Oryzias latipes: one gene and its partner. The protein of the gene in region 1 interacts with the protein of each later gene in a biochemical or structural test. Links are inferred from orthologs where the notes say so. Each region holds a gene or a part of one and is shown in the gene's direction. Other genes may lie near its edges.

Region 1 (9,860 bases):
TGGGCTGGGTCCAACTGGGGCCCATGGGAAGAGCCCCAGCCACCAGGCACCTGCCTGTGAGCCCCAACCCCAGGTCTGGGCGACTTAGATTTTCAGTACTCATAAAGGGGTTGTAAACTGTCTTTAGTCTGGCTCGTCACCTAAGACCTGTCTGCCATGGGAGACCCAACCAGGTGCATTAACCATTGACATCTTAGCCCCTTGGATCAACAGAGCTCCGGGGTTATGTGATCTGGTCCGAATGCTTCCTGGTTGCCCCGCCAGGGAGATTTTCTAGATATGTGTCAATGGGCAAAGACCCCATGGAGAATCCACGACACACTGGAGAGACTGTCTCTTAGCTGGCCTGGGAACACCTTAGAGACGAGGAGACTGGAGGCAGTGGTTGGGCATCTTTACCTAGACAGCTACCTCCATGACCCGAACCCGGATGTGCGGAAGAAAATGGATGAATGAATAAAATAAAATAAAAATGCAGCAAGTTTTGTTTGTACTAACCTATATTTGAAATTCGACAAGTTCAAAAATATTTCTTGCAAAGGCAATCGTACTTTCTCCTTGTTATACAGTACTTTGAAAAATAAACTGTTTGTTGTTAAAATCATGAAGCTCTCTGGGTCTGGGTTTAGAAAGTGGACCCAGATTTCCTCTTGGTTCTTAAACTTTCTTGTCTCGTACACCAACAAAACGAAGGTTCAACGGTGGCAGCTGCATGAAGTGTTTGGGAACAAAAGACGGAAGCAAAGAGATAACAGCTTTCCCATCACGTCCAAGGTTTCTGTCTGCGTTTATCTATTCAAAGCTGTAGACATTAACAACTCAAGTTGTGGTTTAAAGAGGGATTCTCCTAATTTCATTATACAGTCATGTTAGGCACGAACGACTGGGATGCACCGCCTTTTTGCGCTTTCTTCTCTGCATACACATCTCTGTTCCAGTAACAGGCTGTATGGTTGGACTGTTAAACATCGGATGGGAAGTCTTGCTTCTCCTTTCCTTTCTGTTGTCGTCGGCACGCAAATTCTAAGCTGGGGCTGACGTTTTCACAGGACTTTCGTGTGTTGGAAAATGAGTAAAGCCTATTCTTTTTAGCAAACTGGACACAATGCTCACAATTAATCTATTTTTTGAGGAATTGAATGGAAAGAGACTCTCAAGTATGTATCCATGCTTAGTTCACTGTTTGAAGTTAACATTTTAATCTGGGTGGCAGCAGATCCTTATATAGTGTTTAATATGATTGCACTAAACAGAATGCACTGAAATGCATTAAAATTAATTCAACTCTCAGAGAATGACTTAATTTTTTTTTAATTATCTCCAATGTTCACCAAAAAAATGGTAAGAAAGAGTTGTAAAAGGATGACTAATTGTGGTGCCAGTAATATAAATCTCTATGAAGCAAGTAAGTTGTCATTATAAATTTAATACTAACTACTCAGGGAAAGTAGGGGTTTTGTATTTTAGCTGTTGGGCACAGGCGTTCTCATTGGTTTATCGTTTTGCTTTTTCATTCCTGTTTGCCAAATCAGACATGCTGTGCATTTTCATTTTACACACCATCCTAAATATAATTTATTGTTCAGATAAAAGGCACCCTCCTCAGTGATTACATCTGTACAGACCCTGTTTGCTGGACTCTGTGGGTGTCATATGGAAAGGCGTCTCCCATAGACCTTTTAGCCACACATCATCAACATGGAGTGCAGATATTTTCTGAAGTGGATAAAAGTACTTCTCTGTGTTAAAACAGGGATGCTAGGTGACGAATGTAATGGGGGACTGACAGGAAAAAAATGGACAAAATAATAACAGACTCTGATCTATTTCCCATGAGATCACTTCTTTCATATTGATCCATTTCTACAAACTTCAGCATTTATTTATAGAGGTGTGCTTAAATAAAAATAAATCAAATAGATCAATCAAATCTTTACCTAAAGACCCACGCTGATCATCTATAGCCATAGTGTTCCAAATGGTCATTAAATTATGATTATGCGGTTTTTAGCCAAAATCTCGGACACAGTTTCTACATAGCAGCAGGAGTTCACTGGAAATTCTGCCTCTGAGTTGTGGGCTAGACCGTTGAAAACAGAGCAACCCCGCCCCCCCTTCCCCTCCCCATTGCCGAGAGCTCGATTCAGGGAGCGTGTGGCCCGTCCAGCGTATTTTCTACATCACAAATATATATGTTCTTCTTCAAATGTCATTTTTTCTTCTGCTTCTGATTCAAATTGATTTGAATAAAGAATTATGAAGAAAAATCTTCCGTCATCAAATGTGACAAGAACATGTTAAAGACCCAAAACACTATTAGGTCTTTAAAATGCATTCATTGGTTTTCTTTTATGGCAATTTGTTGTAGTTTTTGGGGTAAAACAAAAACATTTTGTGAGTTTTTAGAATAAAAATTCATAATTTTACCAAAGAAAGTTTTTTGTTTTTTGTTTTTTTTACAAACAAAAATATTTTAAATGAAAAATTGACAAAGGAATTTTTACTTACAGTATGTGAATAGCAATGCATCAAAAATGTTATCAGACTTTTAACTTGTGGATTGAAATTGAACCTATTTCCGTGTTATTTCTCATCCATCTGCATTTGTCCTTTATAACAAGAGGCGATGTCACTCTTGTTGCAGGTGCACATTGACATGCATTCTTCCTGAGCTGGCCGGCGAATCCCCCTGCGGCTAGGCAGCAGGATGCCTGTGCAGGCGGCCCAGTGGACTGAGTTCCTGTCCTGCCCCATCTGCTACAATGAGTTTGACAGCAGCAGCCACCAGCCCATCAGTCTGGGCTGCTCTCACACAGTGTGTAAGACCTGCCTGCACAAGCTGCACCGCAAGGCCTGCCCCTTCGATCAGACCCCCATCAGCACAGACATCGACCTGCTGCCTGTCAACTGTGCCCTGCTCCAGCTGGTTGGAGCTCAGGTAAGGCTGAGTACACCGGTGGTGACTGGAGAAAAAAGCAAAGCAACTCAAACTCGAAACTCTTCCCTCCACTGTAAGGTCCCTGATGTTCAGCCGGTGAGCCTGAGCACTGCTGCAGAGGCTGGGCACTATGAAGTCTGCAGAGTGTGTGTGGAAGAACTGGCTCTCTACCTGAAGCCCATCAGCGGCACTAAAGGTACTGCATGTGTGCGCGCACTCACAGGATGCTTCATGATTGGCATTTATATATATGTGGAATGAGACTTCACATTTGGCGTGCGTGGGCTGCAGTCAAACTGGCTGCATGGTTTGGCATTTCCTCTTCCCTCTCACATTATGTAGGACGCTGCTGTACTTTAGTGGTAATGGAGAAAAATGAGGTTCTATGTGTGACCTCTGCAGAGAGACTCAGGCAAGTTCAGCCAATTTAAGAAATGTGCAACTTTCGTGATTTTTTTCTGTTTTATCATTTAAGTTTACTGCCATGTCAGAGCTTTGAAAAGCAAAAAATTGACAACTCTGTAGGAGTTTAGATTCAAATCTGTTGGAGCGTCAGAGTCTTTTGAGAAATAGGGCAGTTTGCACTAAACTAAAAAATGTGTTTTTCTATTTAGCATAATCAGAAATATATCAAATAAAAACATATCTTTTAGTAAACTTTCATATATGTGCAGTTTACCTAAAGAGGTATCACTTCCCTACTACAGGTGTGGCGAGCCTGAGTCCGAGCGTGCTCAGTCGGCCCATGCAAAGGAAGCTGGTGACCTTGGTGAACTGTCAGCTGGTGGAGGAGGAAGGCCGCGTGCGGGCGGTTCGAGCATGCCGCTCTCTGGGGGAGCGGACAGTAACCGAGCTCATTCTGCAGCACCAGAACCCCCAGCAGCTGTCTGCCAACCTGTGGGCAGCAGTGAGGGCGCGTGGCTGCCAGTTTCTGGGACCTGGTGAGTGTCTGCTGATGAAAACCAAACTTAAACACTCAAACAAACAACTTTATGATGAATGCAATAAAGCTGTCACAAATGACAAGTGTAAAACAGATATTTGCTGTAGATATGTCATTAAATCACACCATTACGGTGGTTTTTCAGATTAACCTTTGTAAAAGAAGAGGATAATCAGAGTAAAAATCTTTAAAATAATTTTATTTTAATGACCAACTATCATATATGCAATATGAAACAAATTTTAAAAATGAAAACATTTACATAATTACCAAAAAAATAGGAAAATACACACAAAACTTTATATTTTTGTTGAACTTTGTTTAGAACATGGAGTACTTATTTAGGATAAAAACTTTATCACAGATTAAACATTGATTTCTAAGAGGAGCATTTTCCTTGATGAGGAAAAAAGAATAACAAATGCAGCTGTGAAGTTATATGTATTTATTTTTATTTGTAAGAATTTACACACTCTTATACTACAAATGAAGTATTTTAAAATGCTCAAATAGAAAAAAAAAACCCTAACAGGCTACATTTAAAAAAAACATTTTTTGGTAAAGAATTATTTTTTTTATGCTGTAACCTATGGACTTTGCACTATTACATTATAGCTTGTTGTACATTTAGTGGGTAAGATACTCCAAAATTGATTCTAGCTTCTCAATGAAAGACATTTCAGCTTATTTAGGTTAAGCCCAAATCCCCTCCCTACTATTAAACTACAAAAAAACTGTATAGTGCAGAACTATCTAGTGCCCTGGAGTTTTAATGCAATTTGAACACCGTGCTCAACACTTTTAATTTTCTAATGCCAAAAATCATGTGACAGATTTCCAAAAGTAAAACCCTAATAACTGTGAACATTTTACAAGTATTTTATGAATCTACTGTGTTTTGATGATAAAAAAAACTTGGATGATTGATATAAAAATAAATAAAAATAAAAAATGTTCCTCATGAAAAATCATTCAAATGCAATGCATTGTGGTCTATATTAGCCAATCTAGTGAACATTGATGCAGACAGGGTTTACACAGAGACTTACGGGAAATTTCTAGGGCAATTAGACACAACCAGTTTTTGTTGCTAGTTTGTGTTTAAAAATCCTCATTGGCTGTGAGTGTTTCCTCGTCAGACTCGACGCTGATGCTTTTTCCTGGTGTCCTGTGATGATTACTCATAGGGCAGATTCTGAATGGGAAATCATTTCTCATCCTGATAACAAAATGAGTTCATACAAAATTCTGAGGACACCTTTTTATTGTTTTTGCAGTACTGTCATATGCAGCTTCCCCGGTTCTCACCTGAATTCTTCATGTGCGTTTGTGTTTTTTCCTTACTTTCATCCTTCTCGCTTTCATCTCTCGCCAACTCTTCGCCTCCATCCAACCTCTCTTCACCAGCCATGCAGGAAGATGCCCTGAAGCTGGTTCTGCTGGCGCTGGAAGATGGCTCAGCTCTGTCCAGGAAGGTCTTGGTTTTGTTTGTCGTCCAAAAACTGGAGGCTCGGTTCCCCCAGGCTTCGAAAACCAGCATAGGTCATGTGGTGCAGCTGCTCTACAGAGCTTCCTGCTTTAAGGTGTGGACAATAAAACTGGGCCACATCTACACAACAGACCAATGACTACATCTATGCAAGCTCATGTGAACACTATGAACTGATTTTAAGCCACAAAAGCAAGACTTTTCTAAAGCAACTGTTGGTTGATCTCTCAAGAAAAACAGTACAGCAGCTGGAAAATGTGCTCTCCAGTGTTAAAAATGTCCTAAATCCTGCAGCTTCAGTCAGGGCATGGGCTTCTGCACACCCATTTTTAGAGTGCATGTATTTTTGGGCTTGTTATTTGATAACAGACATCACTGGCAGGGTTATTTTCCTGTAGCCTCTATTTTCTCCCTCTGCCCTGCCTCGGCAGCCAAGGTGGCCGACAACGACGGATGAACTCCAAGGACGGAGTTCTGCTTGAGTAATTGCATCTCAGATTATAACTAATGGCTGTTGTGGTTTGTGTGTCGGCGTCCTGTGATGATTACTCATAGGGCAGATTCTGAACAGGGAGAGTCCCCTTTGTCTGATCTGAATTTGAGTTTGTGAGTCTGAGGATGCCACACGCACACACACACACACAGAAATGCACTCTATGGATTGCAAGTGTCACTTTAGGAACCTTCTGAGAGAAAAAAACTTTAATAAATTGTTTGGTCGATTTTATTGAATAGCAGTTGAAAGAAAGCTCAAAGATAAAGCTGTCAGAAAAAGTTCTCATGCATCCATCCCAACGCCTCCTCGTCTCTCCTCCCACTCTCCTCTCTCCTGCTGCGTCTCGTCCTCTTTGTTCTCCCTCTGTGGCCTGGCCTCATCATCATCAGGTGACGAAGCGGGACGAGGACTCCTCGTTGATGCAGCTGAAGGAGGAGTTCCGTAGCTACGAAGCCTTGAGGAGAGAACATGACGCGCAGATCGTCCATATCGCCATGGAAGCGGGGTTACGCATCTCCCCAGAGCAGTGGTCCTCTCTGTTGTATGGAGACCTGGTTCACAAGTCACACATGCAGTCCATCATCGATAAGGTACCACAGTCCACACATGTGTATATGCTTGTATCCATCTTTGATTTCATAAAATCAGAATATCAGACTTCGACCTTATCTTCTGTAGCTCCAGTCTCCAGAGTCGTTTGCAAAGAGCGTTCAGGAGCTGACAATCGTTCTGCAGAGGACTGCAGACCCTGCTAACCTAACAAGCCTTAGACCACATCTAGAGCTACTGGCCAACATAGACCACAACCCAGGTAATCACCCACCCTCAACAGGCTCAAGCACTTCAACAATGTCACTGTTTCTGAATCAAAATGACTAAAAAACTCAGATCTTATAAGTGGATAAATAAAATCAACAGTTAAACAATCATTTTAATGGGGGGAAAAACAAGTAAACATGTTTTTGTTTATTCACTGTCCACTGGAAGTAAGCTTTGCTTTGTAAAAAAAAAGGGGGGGGGGGGTTCTGTTTTTATTGTAAATAACTTTTGGTAGTTTTAAAAACCTTTCAAACTCTTGAAGTTGGAAAGGTTTATGAAAATGAGTTTGTGTGTTTAATAAATGATGGTATGGCATTTTCAAGTTTCAACCTTTTTAGGAAGCCCGACCATCTGTTGACAATTTACATACTGTGGTGTTAGAGCTGAAATTGGATGCACTTTTTATATTTAGGATGACAACTACAGATATTAATATGAAAACGTTTTTTGTATTCACTTTTTCCATTTTTGGAGAACCTTCTGCCTTTATTAAGTACGATAAAGATACAAAAACAGAGAGAAAAATGTCACCAACATGTGGATCTTTAAAGATTTTACTTTAACACACATTGTTTATATGTTTTTTTAGTGTAATTTTCTAAAATTGATGGAATATTTTCGCCATTTTAACACTATTTTATTTTGCCTGCATCTTTCAATCTTAATGCAGATGCCCCCTCGCCGTCATGGGAGGAGCTGGAAAGTGTAACCCTGGCGGTAAAGCTGGTCGTTCACGGACTAGTGGAGTTCACACAGAACTTTAGCAAGAAGAGCCACGACCCCCCACAGGTAAACTGAAGCAGAAAAATGTCCAAATGCTACAAACAACTTTCAAACTAATGAACACTTTAAAATACTTCTCACTTAAAACCCTTCTTGGCTTCTAAGGCAGTTCTAAAGGACAGGAGATGCTGTCTGACCACACCTAATCTCATTTAGATTCATGAGATTTAAACACATGCAGGGTTTTTCCCATTATTTCAGAAACTAGGTTGTGTTTTCTTGCTTCTAAACACTAAAATTCAGGAGCCATAAATAAACTGAGGTTTAAATAGTTTAAATGCCCTTTTTTGAAGTATTGGTTTTATTTTGAAATATTATTTATGTGATCAATAATGGAAAAAGTTTCAGTCTAACTTTACTGTAAAAAAAGTGAGCAGGTTCTATATTATTATTATTTTTATTTTTTTTGCTCTTTATTTTGATAAAGACAGGAAGTAATATGAGTTTTGCAGCAACCTTATCTCTTTTTAATAACACTGGAAACCAAATATATTGGATTCAGAGTGGATGACTTACATCACATAAGTGGACTCTTAACAGCTTCTCAGGCTGTGAAGTCGCTGTACAAAATGAGAAGAAATGTTCAGGTACTAAAAAATGTTTTTTTATACAGCTCAAATGTGATATATTTTATTTTAGTAGAAAACGATTGGTGAAATAAAACCCTCCTGAATATCAACAGCTCTAAGAAAAAGTTTTCAATAAAATTTTAGTTGAGTCTGACTACATATAAAATGAAAATTCAATACAGATTTGCTTTACTATCCATACGCTTCACAAAAACGGATGGAAATTGCAACTTCACATTAGCAGCATGCACTTTTAGACTGAGTTGAAATAAAAGTTGTTATTATATAGGCTTATATAGACTCACCAGTTCTGTGGTGACTGCATGTTCTTACTACTGCTATTGATAGTCTAATAAAATATTTAAGGACTCGACTTCTAACTATGCTGTGCCACAAAATTACTTGACTTTGAAATATTAAAAAATAAACTAAAGATGACATTTTAGGCAAAAATGAATTAAAAATTAAAAAAAAGAAAGATGCTGAAGGAACTCCAGACTTATCCAGTGCCTGCACTCCCTCACTGGTGTAGTTAAAGAGTTAAACCAGCCACAGGGTAAGGATGTAGAAGGCCTGATGGTTATGTAATGTCAGATAAAATATTGAAATACTACGATTAATTTTCAGGACTGTGCGGGTAATTTGTGTCGCATTTTTGTGGATTTGTAGCCTCAGGCCAACAGCAAGTACAAGACCAGCATGTGCCGAGATCTTCGTCAGCAGGGAGGCTGTCCTCGAGGAACCAACTGTACATTTGCACACACACAAGACGAGCTGGAAAAGTGAGGGTTTTTTCATTTTACAGCATAATCAAATTCTGAATTTCTCCTATTTGTATAATCATAAATATCTCATGGAGCATTCTGAGCGTGTCCTAAGCTTTGTCGCCTTCTCGTGCAGATTTCGACTGAGGAACAAGAAGAGCAGCTGTGTGGGTCGTGCATTCCCTCTCGCCCCAGGTGTGATGAATAAAACATTCTCGATGGAGGCCGGCATCCACACCGACGTATCTGCAGGGGTGGGGTCGGACCTGAAAGGCACGGCGGAGAAAGCAGGGGCCAAGATGGAGGGGGTTCCTGGTCTGGCTCACCAGTCCCTGATCTCCAGAGGCACGGACAGGAAGAGACCCGTGCCAAACGGAATCAGCGGCGGGGGTAACGGGGTACCAGGAACCAACAGAGCTTCAGCAGGATCATCCGACCCGTATGTTGACCATTGTTCTTATTTTACTTGCTGTCGGCATCTGCTTCATTTTTGTAGTTCCAGCCCTCAATCTTTTTTTATTTTAATCTTAATCCTTAATCTTCAACATGCATTGAGGATTACGCCTCACTTGCATGATCATTTATATTAATCCAGTCAAAATCTAGAAGCTTCCAGATGTGTGGACTTACTTCCACTGTGTCTTTGTACATTTTTGTCCAGGGTTGTTTTTATTTTGTGGGGGTGGTTTAACCTTAAACTGCAAAAAGAGGTCTCCTAAAAATAAGAAAAGAACACAAGAAGAGATTAAAATGATCTGTTCATGAACCAAGTCAATTTTACCCTATAAGAAATTGTGTAAGATATCAAAATTTCGAAACAAGGAGTTCCAAACATGTAGAACAAAAGCTAACTGTTTGATAGAATGACATAATTAAATGGTATACAGCCCAATAACAAGTATTCTTTGCTAAGCAAATGGTTTGTATTTTTGAGTTTTTATAAACCTAATTGTAGTTTATTTAGATTACAGTGAAAAAATGACTAATTTTACAACAAAACATGAATACGATCTTAGTACAAGTAGTTCAAAAATCCTTATAAAATCTAAAATTAGCACT
Region 2 (9,860 bases), on another chromosome or scaffold:
AAAGCAACAAGTTTCCGGATGGTTCCAATCATTACAGTGAGGTTCAGATGTAATACAAGTCTATAAGGGCGGGGCCTGTCCACACACACACTCAGATGTTATAAACATACCTGTTGGCTCCAAACAATGTCAGCATGTCAACATGAACACAATACAAACACGCATTTATGCCTTCAAACAAACTAGTGTGAAATATTTCATTCAATCACATAAACTATTTGTGCAAAAGTGAGCTAAAATCGGTGCTCAAGTGAGTGTTTATGTTCTTATAAAATATTCTTGTGCATTTTTTATTCACAAATGTTTTGGATCATAGCTGGTAATGAGAAGTTTTAAAATTCAAAACCTAAAACTCTCAACATTTTACTAAAAGAAGCTTTTTGCAGCTAAAACTTTTAAATGAGTTTGGAATTTCCCAAAGATTTGGACTCTTTCTTTTGAAAGCAAAATCCCCGTTTTCTCTCTGAAAATAAGACCAAATCAGTTTAAACTTCTACACATTAAAAAAATGAGTTGCATGGAAAACGTTTTGATTTTTTTCTTCCCAATGAGATAATGTCCAATACTAAAATGTGTGGAAACTGCATGAGCGTGTCCGCTCGTGCCACAATTTCCTCATAACTTTCAGAGAACGATGGTTCGAAAGCATTTGTGGGAAAGGATATTGTGGCAAATGTATCCAAAAAACAGCAAAAACATGAGTGACAATGGAAGTGAAAGCACTGTTTACACTTCTTAAATCAAGTGTTCGTTTTATGAGCAGCAAATGTTTTTTTTGAAACGCTCATGAACATTGTCCTTAGTGGTCCAAGGATTCATTTAAACGCTTAGATTCATATCATAATTAGTGCTCGCTGATTTGATTTTGACTTTTGAAGAATCGGTTCATTGACCAAAACTTCGATTCAACCAGTGGGTACTGAACAGTGCAGGTGAAGTTTTCCAGATTCTTTGTATTTCTTGCAGAAAAATCAAATGTAAATTGAATATGTGTAACAAACACGTAATATAATCCATTATTAGAACATTCTAACACGCTGTATGGTCTGTGGTAAAGTGTTTCCAAACATTGGACTGTAATGATGCTTTAATCATTTTCTGCTGTCGTCACCTATATGTGTTGTCCACTGTGATGTAATTTTTGTACGTTATAGTCAAATAAACCTATCGTATATATATATATATATATATATATATAGTGTTTTCTAACACATTATTATCTATCAATTTAATTTCATATTGGTATAGGTCGATTCGATTAACGACTAGCCTCAGAAAGATCGATCTGTTTGGATCCTAGGAAAAGAAATCAATGAAGATGATTAATCGTTACACCTCTAAATCTCATAGCTGTTAATTATCCTTAGTCTGCTGGAAAAAAAAGCCAAATGTTATGTGTTAGGTGTCTCATGCTGCCTTTCTTGTGGAGATTTACAGAAACACGAAGACTTCTGTGTGAATTTTGTAGCTACAAGATTGAGAAAACTTGTAGTCAAAAAAGTCTTCAGTGTCTTCATCACTTTTACTAAGGTGTTGAAGGCTTTGTTTTGCACTTTTCTCTACATAGAAAATATTTCCTTATACTCTCAATACTTCTAAAGGACAAAGGACATACATGTTAGAAAATCTACAAATAAGAAAAAGCGTGAAAAATGTTAGAACCTTATCTTCTTATTTATTATGTAAGCTCATGTTTTGTTCTTTTTTTTTTGCAGTTTCTGCGCGTTGTAGATGCATGTTCCAAATTTCTCAGCAAGTCCCTCCAACTTGAGAGCTGTGTTGGCATCCTGAATCTGGCCCACAGCCACGCCCTGCCAGAGCTGAGGACCACAGCGGAGGAGTACATCACCTACCAGTTCTCTCAGGTGATCCAGCAGCAGGACTTTGTGGAGATGCCTGCTCAGTCTCTGGAGGCGGTCCTGCAGAGTGACGAGTTGGATGTAAGGTGTGAGGAGTGCGTTTTCGAAGCGCTGATGAGCTGGGTGAGAGCCCGGCAGAGCGAACGCTGTCCGCTACTGGCCAGGCTGCTTTCACACGTCCGACTGCCACTGCTGGACCCCGCGTACTTTGTGGAGAAAGTGGAGTCGGATGAGCTGATTCGCTGCTGCAGTAAGGCCTTTCCTTTGTTGCAAGAGGCACGCACCTTTCACCTGTCCGGGAGGGAGGTCAGTATTAGGAGTAGGTGGTGGAAAATGTCTCCCAATCGTCTCCCTACCATGACACTCCCACCCCCGTGTTTTCAGGTGGTCTCAGAGCGAACCAAACCTCGTTTGCAGCACTTTCTGTCCGAGGTCTTCCTCATCATCGGAGGTTGCACAAAAGACGAGCGCTTCATCTCCACCGTCACCTGCTTGGACCCTCTCAGGCGCAGCCGGCTGGAGGTCGCTCGGCTGCCAATGACGGAGATGGAGGACGAATCCCAGAACAGAAAATGGGTGGAGTTTGCTTGCGTTACCTTCCACAATGAAGTGTATATATCTGGTGAGAGCAGACTATTTTCTAAATTTGTAAACCTTCTGTTGCTTTTGTCAGCCGCTTTATAACCTTGTTCCTGGTTCTAATGAGTCTCACTGAAAGTCCAATGTGAAGTTTTGAATGGTAAAGTTAGAAAGCTGAACTAAACAACAGGAAGAGGAGAGTTATTGTGGTTTTAGGTGCTTCCTTACTTAGGAACTGTTGCCACAACTCTCGACGTCCTCGAAACCTGAAGAAAACGTTAAGACATGTTTACATTTTATCATCACAACCACTGTGCTCTGTGGTTCAGAGCAGGACACAGTCCTTGACCAACATGACTGCACTGAAAAGTAAAACGTTAAGCAATAGAGGAAACACTGATGTTTTTTTTTTTTTTTGTAACGGTAGGGGGGAAAGAGACGCAGCATGATGTTTGGAAATATAACGGCGCTCTGGACAAATGGATTCAAGTCGAGCCCCTCTCAGTGGGACGCTGGAGGCACAAGATGGCAGTTCAGAATGGGAAAGTTTATGTTCTGGGGGGTTTTGATGGAACTCAGAGACTCACAAGTGTGGAGGCCTATGATCCTTTTCACAATCGATGGACACAGGTAACATGATAACATTTAAAATGCTGTCCCTATTTTACATACTGAAAAAAAAAATCACCCTATTTGAATTCAATCCCTTCTTATAAAAAGTTTCCTGCTTTAACCCCTTGACCTCTTTATTTTACTTCTTCTGTGCTGGCTGCAGGCGACACCTCTGGCTATCGGTGTGAGCTCCTTTGCTGCAGCAAACTTTGACCGATGGATCTACGTGATTGGCGGGGGGCCAAATGGAAAACTGTCCACTGATAAGGTTCAGTGCTGGGAACCAGGAACGGACAGTTGGGAACTGCGAGCGCCCATCCCCATTGAGACCAAATGCACCAACGCTGTCACCTTCAAGAACTGCATCTACGTCGTTGGTGAGTTTAGGCCAGTTTTGTTTGGATCTAAACAGGGGTCTGCACCCTGAGGCTTCAGAGCCACACGTGCCTCTTTGACCCCTCCTTTATGGCTCTGTAGTCAAAGAACAATGCAATGTTTTTAACTTAAAAACTAACGTATTTTTTGGAATAAACATCAAAACTAAGTCAGAAGAGTCAAACTTTATTTGACAAACAGTGGAAGGAAAACACCAATTGCTCCCATGATGCTCCAACAATCCATCAAGCGGTGCAGCTTTTTTTACCAAAGTGAAACATTTTTTGCGTCGTTTAGCACACAATATCAATTATAGGTCAGTAAGCACAACCAGAATTCATACTGAAGGCACATCAGATTAAGCAAACTGGCTAGTCCTAAACAAAATTTAAGGATATTAAGTGTACCATGTGGTCCAAAAATTACCTCTGATTTAATTTATGGTAGTTATATTTACAAATGTCTGGCTGAGATGCATCAACAACAACAAAACAAACCATGTAAAGTCCCCCCCCCCATCACTGCTGACATCACACCACCTATATTTGCTACATTGAGATGATTCTAAGTGGCACACGGTGTCTTATTTTGAAACAAAGTCATGTAACCCTTTCTTTCTTTATTTTATTAATGCAAACAGAAATGATTATTTAATTTTATCATAAAAGGAACAATAATAGAAATGCAAATCAAGTGTCTTATTTTTGTAAAGGTTGAAGTGAGACCTTTTGGCTTCCAATGGGTTTTCTTTGTGAGGTTGTTGTTCACTTTCATATTGCATATCTCCCACAGCGAATCAGCTTTCACTGATTTGGACAGGTTGTTTGGCAAAGATTTTTACACCGAACGCCTTTCCTGCCACAACCCTGAATTTTATCTGGGCTAGGGACCGGCACAGACTTGGGCCCCTTTGTGGCTACATAATTAGTCAGCAGCTAGAAGGGTCTTGCCCAAAGACCCACACTGGATGAAGATCATCGTGCCCCTGGGATTCGAACCCTGGTTTCCCATGTGCCAGTCCTGCACTCAAACAGTTTCAAAATGATCAGTAACGACTGAGTCATCCATTCGGGGAAGCACAGCAGAAACACTGTAGGTTTACCTAGAAGGGGAAACCAAAAGCTTTAAATAAGTTTGCATCTTTTGTACAAAAAATACTCAAAAAGTAAGCAAATGTAGAAAAATTAAACAAATTTGCTAGTCTGTTTTGAAGATCCTAACAAACAACTCTTTTATGAGTAAATGTAAAAAAGCTTTTTCCATAAACAAATAGAAGCATTTAAACCATTATTTTTTTAAACATTTTTGTTTTACTTTTTTACTTGCTACATTTCTTTTCACCTATTTAATTTAATTCAATTCAATTTTATTTATATAGCCCAATATTACAACAGTAGTCGTCTCAATGGGCTTCATACCAGTAATTGTATAATGAAAATAAAATCATAATTTACATGATGCCATAGAATTCAATAGGTAACGGCTAAACTAAACTAAACATACTAAGCTAAACGAGGCATCCCTCCTTCTCTGCAATTTAGACAGTATTTGCTGCGGTGAGGTTTCGTTTTGACAATTACAGCATTAAAAGCTAAAAGACCGTTAGCGGGGTGGAGGGAAATGGAGTGAGGATGGAGGAGAATCCTGTTTTGGAGGCGGATCAGTCTCATTAAAATGAGAATGATTGGGTGTCAGAAGTGGCCGTTTTGAGTTTGCCTTTAAGGTTGCTCTGATGAGTCAGAATGATTACAAAATCTCCCACATCTGTGTGAGAGTCATCTAGGAAGTCGCTATTTTCAGTTATTGATGACTTTACAGCAGGGGTGGGCATCTCCAGGTCTCAAGGGTCGGTGTGTCAGTGTGATTTCCAGATTTTGGTGCCCTACTCATGGCTTATTACTAGGGGTGTAATGATTAATCAATTTCTATTCCTACGAGCCAATCAGATCGATCCGTCTGAGGCAAGTTGTTAATCGAATCAACCTAAACCATTAAAAATGTGTTTTAAAATAAAATAAATTGATTATATGAAAATGGAAAATACCATTCGAATTGAGACATGGTATCTTTATTTTACTATAACATAAAAACAACAAAGTGCATCACAGCGGACAACACTTGATGTGATGTCAACAAAAAATGATCAAGCCATCATTCCAGTCCAATGTGTGGAAACACTGAATTTAGCAAAGTCATGTGACCAAACAATGTGCTAGAATGTTCCAATAATGTTCCCTTTGGATTAGTTTGATGTGAAAAAACAGCTGAACTTTGGGAAACTAAAATGGGAATGGATTTGGAAGTAATTCTTGTTTACTTTATTGTTTTTTCTGCACATTTAATTTATTGATGATCATCTTTTAAGAAGTACAAGGAGTCTGGAAAAACTTCAACCTGCATTGTTCAGTACAGGTTTTTATCTCTGAGTCTCACTGACTGAATTTTTGGCTAAAGATGTCCTGGACTGAATTTAGGTCATTGAATTAGATCGTTCAAAATGAACCAAAATCGGCTATGAATTGTATCGGCAGCCACAAATTATGATATGAATAAAAGCGTTGGTAAAATGAATCTTAAGATTACCTGTATCAGACAATTAGGACATGGCAGGGTAGGGTATGTTTGAAAACAACCAGCAGTGGCCAACCCTGCTTTACAGTGATTCATGCAGGGCTAACATAGGTTATGTTATTTTTGGACTTATATTTCCTAAAATAAGAAATATAACAGTAAAAAATAACTGCATGTCTGAGGTTGTGAGGTTGTTGGGCAATTTTCAAACTTGAATTTAACAGATAATGTCTGTTGTTTTATTGAAAATTAATCCAAAAGTAAATAAGTTCTAACTTTAACACATTAACGTTGTTAGTGTTTTTACTTTGGTACAGTAAGGTTATGATGCTAACATAACATTTCAGATCACAACTTGACTTTAGAATCTTCTACACAATTTTTTAAGACAATTTTTCTAATGACTTACTGCCTTATGTAAGCTCATATGTGATTGGGATTTTAAATTATACATTATTGTACTACATCGATGGGGAATAACACAACAGCAGTTAGACTTATGACAGTGCAAAAGCCACGTTTGTGCAGGATGCAAAACATTTCACCATGAATGCTCAAAAATTTTAAAGTTACACTTCCTGGACTCCAAAGGGTTTTTTGCCGACACCTGCTGCCTAAAACTGTGACGTAACTATATGCTGAAATATACAATATATGAAGCTGCACATATGCAATCCTATGTTCTACATGATTTTGTTCTTTGCTTTTTAAGTGCAGATCATTTATGATTAGAAAATTAAGCTTTCCTGGGAGGCAGGACTTCTACGGTTTCTCTTAGTTTATTGAAAATTAAGTTTGTAAAGAAAAAAAAGCGGTTGTGTAGTTGTAGAAAAATGAATTTGGGTCTGCATTTAAAAAATTTGGAGGATGTTTTTTTTTCTAATCCTTTTTAATAAAAGAAAAAAATCCAAACAAGCTACTGACCCCTAAAATGCCTCATGTCCAATTTAAGTTGGGAAAATTTAAAAAATGTGACTTGTATTTTAACATTATCACCGAAGTACGACAAAACCCATTTAAAAAAATGTGCTTACTTCATTTACTATCTTTAAATATATATTTTGGAAGAAATGCAAGTTTTTCAATTTAACCCTTACTGAAATTAGCCTTTCTAAATGTTATTTTGTGATTCCAGGTGGTGCCATGAATGCCATGTACTGCTACTCCCCTCTGAGCGACACCTGGACCCTCGTGTCACGTCTAGGAGAACGGGCAAGTTGTGCCATTGCAGCCTGCAACAACAAACTCTTCATAACCGGAGGAAGAGACAACAAGAACCAAGTCATCTCCACTGTCATGTGCTGGGATGTAACGCAAGGAGTGTTGACGGAGGAGTGCGTTTTACCGATGGGAGTGTCCCATCACGGCAGTGTGACACTGATGAAGTCTTACACGCAAATACACAAAATAACCCGTCCAGCGGAGTCCCAGTGACAAACACTGTCAACAGGAACTAATGGGGCAAAATGGGGTTTAAAAATAAAGTGGGACATTTGCATGTACTGATTTTTTCCAGTGTAGACTTGCCACTGTGCACGAGGCATGTGACCATGTTTTTGTTGATGTGAAGATAAAAATATACATGTTTTTTAATCTTAAGGTTTACATTTTATTTTGACCTTTTTGTATAAGGTAATTTATGCAGTGGTAAAAGCAACAAAGCTATTTTAACTGTTGTGTTGCGAAGGTTTTTTCTTAAAAACGTGTTACGTCCACAACATAGTTGGTCTACATCAGGGTCTGCAGCCTTCAACACTTAGAGCCATTTCGGTTGATTTCTCCCCGACCACAACCCAGCAGAGAAGTACGGCACTGATTTGTATTTGTGTTATTGTTACTTTTAGGATACATATAAATGAATTGTTGTTTTTAGAGCATAAATTAAACATAATTATAAAGATTATTTTTTTTCAAAATATGAAAAACTTTATAACTTTTGACAGACGTTTACATAACTTCCTTTCAAAATAAAAGCTCCTCTGCATTACAGTACATAGCATCATCTCATTGTACCAAATGTAATAGTATAGTGTAATGTCAGCAGTGAAAATCTAACTAACCAAAATGAAATTAGAGCTAATTAAGTGACCCTAATAATATCTTCTGAACCATAAGGCACACTTAAAATCCTTGAATTTGTTCAAAAGTAGAAAATCTGTCATACAACCAGGTGTGCCCTAATTCCTAATGCGCTTATTGACCCTCCAAAAGATTTTCTGTGTTTTATGCCGCACAAAATCTGTCAAAATATTTGAGTTTGACTTGTGATACATACAGTCATCAAATGTATGCGAATGAGTTAAAGTTTGAATTTGTTTACTTTGCTTTTTACTTTGCAATTACTTTTTAAAGTTACATTTTTTTTATTTTTCTTTAACCAGAGGAGAGGTAGTCCTTAGTTAATGTGGCTCTGGAACAGCAGGTAGCAGAAGTAAGACACACAATGGAAAGGTTTATTTTTGTTACTAAATGAAAACAAAAAGAGGAAGATGGGAAGGTAGCGGCTATAATTGGGCGAAAAACGTTAGATAAATAGAAAAAAAACAGACCTAATTATTCTGTCTCCAGCAAAACAAAAATGTCTTCATAAGTTATAACATCTGTCCAAAAAGCAAATCAAAACCTCGCTAAGAGGTGGCACCAAGCAACTTACCTATAGCAGTGATTCTGTATGTGGAAAAGTACAGAGTACCCTGTCCAAAAACCCTTCCACATGCAACCAAAAGATGGGTCATGATGAGCCCCTTTTTAATGTCTGTGTCGGTTTTATGTGATCCAGGTGACAGCCTTGGGGCCTCCACCAGAAATGTTTGCTTAGATCATCAAGGAGGACATGAAGAGGGGGAAAAAACAAAAAGGCAGTGATTCCCAAGATCTCTGTGCACAACAACATGGAACGTTGCAAACCAGTCAAACCTGCCACCTGAGTCATGCTGAAAGTCAGCGGCCCTTTAAAGCAAAAGTCGGTTAACACACTCAAGTGAAAAGGGGAACTAAGGTAAACATACTATGGGGACCAGTAGTAATTATATCTAAGATGAGACAGGGATGAGTTACATAACTGCATTTTATCTGGAGCCTCAAAATTAGGTAGGGTAAAAGTAGAAAAAAATAGTTTTTTTTTCTTTTTTAAACGATCAATGAAGGTTTTGCCTTAAAGCAATATCATATCAATAAATGGCAAATCTTGGATGAAAAAAAAACGAATTTCTCTCTCTCTTTCCTATTTTATTTTTATTTTTTTACATAACTTTGTAGAAGTTTTAACAAACAAATAAATGACACCACACATATCCGGAAATTTACTATGAAATTCCCCGCCGGAAACTCTTAAACTTTTACTCGTTAAACATTGACAACATTTTCTGTTGATTTTTTTAACCATAATTTGTGCATGTCCCTTTGAGCCTGGTCTAATTAAAAAATGTAATGAATTGACTTATAAATATGTATTTTCCTGAATACGTTTTAACTACAATGTAAAGGACGAGAACCGATACCATGACATTTATTGCGAAATTCCATGAACCGGAAACTCAGGTGTTTCTCTCGCCAAACACTGGAAGAGTACTTACCTTTTGCCTTGTTTTTATCCAAAGAATTGTGTTTTTAGACCTGTTGTAGTCAAACGTTAATTATTTTTGATTTGTTGGAAAAGAAAATCGTAAAGTAGTTCGAGTTTTTTAAGTGCATGACAGGTAACGTCGGTAGGATTTACCTGAGAGTCCCGTAGTGAAAGTAATGACCCACCTTTTTTCAACATGAAATCCCGATCTCTTCTCCCCTACTGTATTTGTTTGATCAATTTGGGTGAGTTCTTCCTCATACTAACTTTTTAAATTAGTTTAATAAAGGATGTGTCAT

What was found.
Region 2: the proteins of roquin-2 (region 1) and klhl6 form a complex in vitro, tested with the Homo sapiens proteins (2 studies listed by BioGRID, with this or other methods). The link is inferred for Oryzias latipes from reciprocal best matches to the Homo sapiens genes RC3H2 and KLHL6.

Annotation. Positions count from the first base shown.
Region 1 is NC_019870.2:15,307,777-15,317,636, forward strand, and holds part of roquin-2, read left to right. Parts: intron 1-2,644; 5' UTR 2,645-2,707; coding exon 2,708-2,938; intron 2,939-3,016; coding exon 3,017-3,134; intron 3,135-3,645; coding exon 3,646-3,879; intron 3,880-5,288; coding exon 5,289-5,464; intron 5,465-6,255; coding exon 6,256-6,456; intron 6,457-6,544; coding exon 6,545-6,677; intron 6,678-7,355; coding exon 7,356-7,474; intron 7,475-8,706; coding exon 8,707-8,819; intron 8,820-8,937; coding exon 8,938-9,240; intron 9,241-9,860. UniProt on the Homo sapiens protein: Post-transcriptional repressor of mRNAs containing a conserved stem loop motif, called constitutive decay element (CDE), which is often located in the 3'-UTR, as in HMGXB3, ICOS, IER3, NFKBID, NFKBIZ, PPP1R10, TNF and in many more mRNAs.
Region 2 is NC_019879.2:24,291,657-24,301,516, reverse strand, and holds the end of klhl6 (kelch-like protein 6), read left to right. Parts: intron 1-1,715; coding exon 1,716-2,165; intron 2,166-2,243; coding exon 2,244-2,481; intron 2,482-2,865; coding exon 2,866-3,068; intron 3,069-3,213; coding exon 3,214-3,427; intron 3,428-7,131; coding exon 7,132-7,430; 3' UTR 7,431-7,672; downstream 7,673-9,860. Other genes in the region: proteoglycan 4-like, read left to right, coding at 9,758-9,806. UniProt on the Homo sapiens protein: Involved in B-lymphocyte antigen receptor signaling and germinal center formation.